Arabidopsis thaliana: one gene and its partner. The protein of the gene in region 2 interacts with the protein of the main gene of each other region in a pairwise test. Each region holds a gene or a part of one and is shown on either strand. Other genes may lie near its edges.

Region 1 (3,757 bases), on a different chromosome or scaffold from region 2:
GAATATACTCCAACAGATGCAATGTTGATTTCCGGTGTCAACAACTGCCAACATTCATCCTCTAAGTGTTAATATTCAGTCTCCAAATCCTCAATATTCGATGTAGTATTTCAATGCAGATCCCATCTCCTCGTGAAGTAGTCAAACATCTCTTAACATTCTAACATTAAATTGAAATCATTTAGTAATATTTGATATTTTTTCTTCTTTTCTTTGACACTGCCAATTACGATTTATGAGCAGGACTTAAGATTGCATATACAATCAAATGAAAGATGGAGTCACATCACAAGAATAAAAAGATCAATGATCAAATGAAAGATTTTAGTTTTCAGGGGATTTTGCATCTTTCAATGTTTTCGATTGTATCTTCCGGAGAAAAAAGAATCAGAGATCGTAATTCACACACGAACACGTTCGACTTAAGAAATGTTGATTACAAATTTTCACGATGCAAAACTGATTTATATTTAATTGAATCAAAGAAGAATCATTTTGAGATACAAAGAACAACAAAAGCCAAACCAATCTGGTAGTAGCAAATCAAACCAAGGTGACATACAACAACATTCAAAATACTTTCACAAATTTAATTAATCATCAAACGGTGACAACAGCTTCTTTCTCTTCTTGTTTACTCTCCTCCTTTACTGGTTCAGCCTCAGCTTTTACTGGTTCAGCCTCAGCCTTTACTGGTTCAGCTTCAGCCTTTTTCTCCGCTTCCACTGCAACCTCAACCTTTTCGGGTGCAGCTACGGCAACCGCCTCCACCTTTGCTTCAGCGTTTTCTGTTGCAGCGTTCTCCACTTTCTCAGGTGCAACTACTGCAGCCTCACCAGCATCAGCAGAAGAAGACTCTTCGACGGCTGCAACCTCTGGTTGAACAGCAGGAGTTGTTTCCTTGGTCGGCTCGACCGGAAATGTCTCCTTAGCTTCGACAGAAGTTGTTTCAGTGGTCTCAGCCACTGTCTGGTTCTGTTTCTCACCGCTTTCTGTGTTGTTCTCCTGTATTAATTAATCATACCAAAAGATCATAACCGGTTAAGCCCGGTTCGGTAACAAAACCTAATTAAATTTTCATATTTAAAACCTAGAGATTAATTGTTACCTTGGCTACTACGTTTTCAGAGACAGGCTTGTTAGGAACAGAGCCTTCTTCGTTTTGCATGTCTGATTCCTTGGGTCTACTCGCACAGCCACCCATTATTATATATTTTTTTGGTTTTTGTGATTTTGGGTTGGGTTTAGGCTGTGGAGTGTGCAAAAAAAATTTACACAAACTTTTTTATTTTTCTCTTCTTTTTTATTAATGTTGACCCGAGGATTGAGCAAATGAAGAGAACATAATCATGGTTATATAGATGAAGATGATTCCGATTTTTATGGAGAGCCTTTGGTATTTTTTCTTGTGTGTGTTGAAGTATTCAAATTGGGGATGGCTAAGAATAGAGTTTAGCAGAGAGGTAAGAGTAAATTTAGATAGATGTTTCTCTGTATTTGAAAAGCTTCATTGATATCGTCAAACTTTTGGAAGTTTTGTGGACCTCTCTCGTCTCTTGTTGCTAGCTCTATTTTTAGCCGGTCCTAGCTCCAGAATTTTAATTCGATTTTTTGAATTTTGTAACTTGCAAAGATAAGAGGATTACGCCGTGTAAACGATGATGAATATCCTAATGATTATGCAGCTTTTTACTAATACATAATTTCATGAAAGAAGTTTTGATTAGGTTTCCAAAAGTCAAAGAAAGCGAAAAAATCTAAATAAATTAAAAAAGACAAGTTTCCAAAAGTCAAGAAAAGCGTAACACCATCCCAAAAACAAAGTGACATGCACCGAAACTTCCATTCCTTTCCACGTGTCATTACATCATTCGTTCTATGACATTTCTCATCACCTTCTTTTACAACAGTCATTCACTTCTCGCTTTTACCCCTGCATCTAGTTAATATCCCAAAGTCGCTCAAGGGCAAAACCATACTTTAACAATTTCCAAACCGCGTAACGTACTTGGTTTGCCGCGTGTACACACCACGCGCTGCCATCACCATATAGAACTCACAAAAGGAAAGAAAAAACCAAATCAAAGCTCACATCTGCCTTCTTCTTCACTTTACCAAAATCATCGAATCCATTTTTAGGGTTTTTGTTTTCTCTCTAAATTTTTATTGTTATCTTCTTCGCGATACCTTGGAATCGCATCTCTGAGATAGATAAATAATTCTGATTCGTATCTTTAAATCTTGGGTTCTTCTTCTTCTCGCGATTCGTTTAAAAGAGCAGCATCAATGAATCAGAATCTTCATGTATTATCAATGGATTCGTTACCAGTTGGATTAAGATTCCGTCCAACAGACGAGGAGCTAATCCGTTACTATCTCCGTAGGAAAATCAACGGTCACGATGACGACGTCAAAGCTATCCGTGAGATCGATATTTGCAAATGGGAACCTTGGGATTTACCTGGTACTTACTTACTTACTTCTTCATCTCTTTATTCATAAATTTACACTTTTTCTATAGATCCTCTTTGATTTCTCTGGCATTATGTTGAATTGAGAAATGGTAGAACTTAAAATTTGTAGCTTTAGTTTCTATGGTGAAGAAAGTTAATAACTTTAAACCGATCATATGTGTTTGATATAGTTTAGTTTTGGGTATGTGGTTATATCTCTGTTAAGGTGTAGTGTAAGTGACTGAAATTTGATTAAAAGATGTGATTTTTTTTTGTTGTAGATTTTTCTGTGATCAAAACTAAAGACTCAGAGTGGCTCTACTTCTGTCCATTGGATCGGAAGTATCCGAGTGGAAGTAGACAGAACCGGGCAACAGTTGCAGGGTACTGGAAAGCCACAGGAAAAGACCGGAAGATAAAATCCGGTAAGACTAACATTATTGGTGTGAAGAGAACTCTAGTTTTCCACGCGGGTAGAGCTCCTAGGGGGACACGAACCAATTGGATTATTCATGAGTATCGTGCCACGGAGGATGATCTTAGTGGTACCAATCCTGGCCAGGTAAATAATGCATACTTTTAGATGTGTAACCATTGGAAAACTAAATTTGGCTCTGTAGCTTATTGTGTGCTTGTGTTGATATATATATATGCAGAGTCCGTTTGTTATATGCAAATTGTTCAAGAAAGAAGAACTGGTTTTAGGGGAAGAAGATTCGAAGTCAGATGAAGTTGAAGAACCTGCTGTCTCGTCTCCAACTGTCGAAGTGACTAAGTCAGAAGTATCTGAGGTAATTAAAACAGAAGACGTGAAGCGTCATGACATAGCAGAATCTTCTCTTGTAATCTCTGGAGATTCTCATAGTGATGCTTGTGATGAGGCTACAACCGCAGAGGTGAGGACATTGAAAAATTCTCTTAGACAGTTTTTAGATGATTGTCTCTAGTGTCTGTTTGAATACTAATGATGTTTATTTTCGGCATGCAGCTTGTAGATTTTAAATGGTATCCGGAATTGGAGTCCTTAGATTTCACGCTGTTCTCTCCATTACACTCTCAAGTCCAATCTGAGCTTGGATCCTCTTACAACACATTCCAGCCTGGCTCGAGTAATTTTTCAGGGAACAACAACAACAGCTTCCAAATCCAGACTCAGTATGGTACAAATGAAGTAGATACGTATATATCTGATTTTCTTGATTCGATTCTCAAGAGCCCAGACGAGGATCCAGAGAAGCACAAGTATGTTTTGCAAAGTGGTTTTGATGTTGTAGCACCAGATCAGGTACATGAAGATTCCTCAA
Region 2 (3,757 bases):
CAGAACAAGTGAACTGATGTTCAGTAAGGGACGACGTCAAGCGTTGCATTTTACAAACGCAGCGACCAATGCGGCATATCTACTTTGTTCTATATCCAACCATATGTTGTATTATAATATATTTTAGGTCTAGATTGATCCAAGCTAAAATTTTGGATTCTTTTTTAAGATAGGACAAAATAATTATTGCCCTATCTTTTACGTAGCATAAGAAATGTACATATATAGATGTATATGCAAAACCTAATACAAAAAAGTATATTTTCCACATCCAAGATAAATTATTGCGTCTCATCTATCACAATGTGAACAAAAATAATTATTTTCTTCTCTTAGTTACTATGAGTTCACAATATAATACTTTTCTTTAGGTTAAAGCTCTCAACTGTTGATGAAGTACAAGAACTCAAAATTGTGAATGAAAAAAAGGGACATCATCCAATATCAGGCGTGTACATATTAGCATTGTTGTGTATCTTTTTATATTATAGTCCATTAGTCCTAATCGATAGATGTATTTTTTTTTGTTTTATTAGTTATAAAAACAGACATCTATTATTAATTTGTTATGGTTAATTGGTTATTGTATATTATTATAGTAGAAGTGACGTGAGGTACCAACGTATTAGATTATAAATATAAATAATGGCCAAAGACAAAGCCATTTGTCAAAACTTCAACGTCATTATAACCTGTAAGATTAAAAATGAACAATAAGAAATCATATTTAGCAAAAAAAAAAAAAAAAAACAATAAGAATCATTTGTCAAATCTTCAACATCGTTACAGTGTATAATTTATATTTTGATTTTTTGTTCTAAATGATCAAAGTTCATATATAAAGTTATTTATATGCTCAAATTTAATCATCGAATATATATACAATTTGTCTATGTTATTTGTCAAAGACAACGTCAGCAATAGTTCCATATACTCTCTTTTTCTTTCGGAGTCTTTATATTACTCACGGAGATATTAAATTATATTTATTTTTTCACTGAGATATTTTTTTTTTTTTGGTTTAATGTTAATAAACTCACTGAGATATTAATTAATACATGCAATCTTTATCTATATTTCCCATTTTTATTTGTAAATGTGTCCCTTCTCGTGTTATGCGAGGGTCTTTTTTTAACTTTTTAATTTCTCATTTGGAAGCTTTCATCTATAAATATATGCACTAGCTTATTCTATATATAACATAAAACCGAAAAAAGGTTTTGTTCACGATGTGGATTCTCTGTTCACGAGAGGTTTTGTTGAAAAAGAAAGAAAGAAAATAATTCAACTTGAATTTGGAAGTTTGGTTACAGATCACATCATTCGACAATAAAAATAAAGACATATATAACAATTAGAACAGTAACTAATTTGAATTTCAGCTTCGATTTCTTACGAATCACATGGGGTCAATAAGGGTGGGGCTAGAAAAACACGTACGTTTGGAGACCAATGTGTGTATCATTCCTGCATGCGCATCAGATGTGTTTCACTCTTCAGAAAAACGTTTATTTTATTTTGCATGTCACAGTCGTAGCTAATTATCCGTACGCATCTTAATTACGACTCCATTTTACACACCAATTTATGGATATATAATTCAGACAAGATGAGTTCTCGTTTAATTTTACTTCTTTCCATTTGTGGAAGTTCATATACTATTGTGAAAATTTGAAAATAACTGGTGAAAGAGGAAACGTCCATATTTGTGGGCTCTATTTATAATAATAACAACAATATTAATTGTTTAGGTAAAAATTAACAGAACTATTTTGAATTACAATCGGAAAAAGGTTTGCGTCAAAAAAGTATTGATGAACCATGCATTTGATATAAGCATTTATGTTTGTTCAATTTACTATTAAGCAATTAAGTCGAATTTTATCGAATCATTTTAATTTTTACCTTTAACATTTCTGTGATCTTGAAATCTTTAAATTAACAATGTGAGTTATATACACTAGAGAAAAATAATTGCATTCCACTGAAAACCTCAACATCTTGGGAAATTTAAACTTAATCAAAGACATCGCAAATGTTGCTTATCTTTTTATCAAGCCCAGCCCACATATTCGCGGCCCCAAAGCCCAAAGGTTAAGCTGACTCGTTACAAAATAAATAAGTATTAATAAAGGTTTTTGATTGGCTTATTTCGGTTTAAATTTAATACCATATCTTTCGGAAGATCACGTGAGACACATGTGACATCCAACGAATAGCCAATCGCTGAAAAGTGAAGACTTTTTGTTACCCCATAAACAAAAGCATCATCTCTCTCTCATCTTTTATTTTTCTTTTAGAAACCAAACTTTTCAGATTTCTCTCTCTCCATTTGGCGATAGAAGAAGTCATGTACCAATCATCATCCTCCACGTCATCATCATCGCAGAGATCATCGCTTCCCGGCGGCGGAGGACTGATCCGTTACGGCTCAGCTCCGGGATCGTTTCTAAACTCTGTGGTTGACGAAGTCATCGGAGGAGGCTCATCAAACGCTCGTGACTTCACCGGCTATCAACCGTCGTCGGATAACTTCATCGGTAACTTTTTCACCGGAGCTGCTGACTCATCCTCGCTGAGATCCGATTCGACGACTTGTGGAGTCAACAACTCATCCGACGGACAGAAACAGCTAGGCAATAACAATAATAATAATAGTAATAAAGATATCTTCCTCGACAGATCCTACGGTGGATTCAACGAGATCTCGCAACAACACAAGAGCAACGACATCGGAGGAGGAAACAGCTCAGGATCTTACTCTCTCGCTAGACAACGTAGCTCTCCCGCCGATTTCTTCACCTACCTCGCCTCAGATAAAAACAGTTAGTCCTTTTTTTACTCAAGAATAGTAACTGTGATGAGATATATATATTTAGACAGACAAGTTTACTCATTTTCAGACCATTTTTCCTTAGAATTTGCCAAAAATCGTAATGTAGAATATGAGCTATATAGTTTTCAGTCATTCAATCATTCATTGCTCAACTAAAGATCCGTTTTTTGGTGAAATGAAAATCTAACCACGAGGGTATTTTCGGTATTTCTCACTGTGAAGTATCTAGTTTCTTACAAGTTAATTAACGACTATGTATATAAAATAAGTTGACATTGTGAGCTTTGATATTTAGGGTCGTTGCTAAATTAGCTTGGTTGGTACTTGTGCAAGACGTGATCCTCGTATTTTCGGAATGACGAAAATACCATTTGATCCCTAACCACGTGCTTGAAAATACAGCAAAAATGTGGCTCGGTTACCCTTAATTTGGGATATTATTTAAATCTTCGAGGATTCCTATATCTCAAGTTGCATTTATTTATTTAGAGGATGGATTTTTTCGTTGATGACCAATAGTTTCTCTGCTGAGATGGCGAAATATCATTGGTTGTGATGAAGATTATTCAAATAGAAAGCGATGTAGATCTAGTTGGTGGATCTGATCTGTCCACTTTTATATTATTTTTTCCTTGGTCCTGATGATTCGTGCTTTGCTTCGTTGTTATCTAATCATAATATCTTCCACCAAGCCTGGATGTGACTTCCCACACCTAACCGGTCACCGGCCTGAACCGGAATTCAACTATCCATATTATCCAAAAATCCCTCTTTATTTACTTACATTATATGGTTTCTAATATTTTGGATGTGAATGTGAATTATTTTTAAAAATAATTTTCACGTAATGTCATTATAATATAGTTTACTTTGTAAATCAGATTTCTCGTTGAACCAACCAACCAGTGATTATAGTCCGCA

Evidence for each region. Proteins that work in one complex are often made in the same cells at the same time.
Region 1: the proteins of AT1G05805 (region 2) and NAC062 interact in a two-hybrid assay, tested with the Arabidopsis thaliana proteins (one large-scale study listed by BioGRID).

What each region holds. Positions count from the first base shown.
Region 1 is NC_003074.8:18,363,247-18,367,003, reverse strand, and holds the start of NAC062 (NAC domain containing protein 62), read left to right. Parts: upstream 1-2,044; 5' UTR 2,045-2,286; coding exon 2,287-2,464; intron 2,465-2,734; coding exon 2,735-3,015; intron 3,016-3,109; coding exon 3,110-3,349; intron 3,350-3,441; coding exon 3,442-3,738; intron 3,739-3,757. Other genes in the region: AT3G49540 (uncharacterized protein), read right to left, coding at 601-1,005, 1,109-1,204. UniProt on the Arabidopsis thaliana protein: Transcriptional activator activated by proteolytic cleavage through regulated intramembrane proteolysis (RIP). Transcriptional activator involved in response to cold stress.
Region 2 is NC_003070.9:1,742,493-1,746,249, forward strand, and holds the start of AT1G05805 (basic helix-loop-helix (bHLH) DNA-binding superfamily protein), read left to right. Parts: upstream 1-1,951; 5' UTR 1,952-2,350; coding exon 2,351-2,825; intron 2,826-3,717; coding exon 3,718-3,757. Other genes in the region: DGL (alpha/beta-Hydrolases superfamily protein), read left to right, coding at 1-127.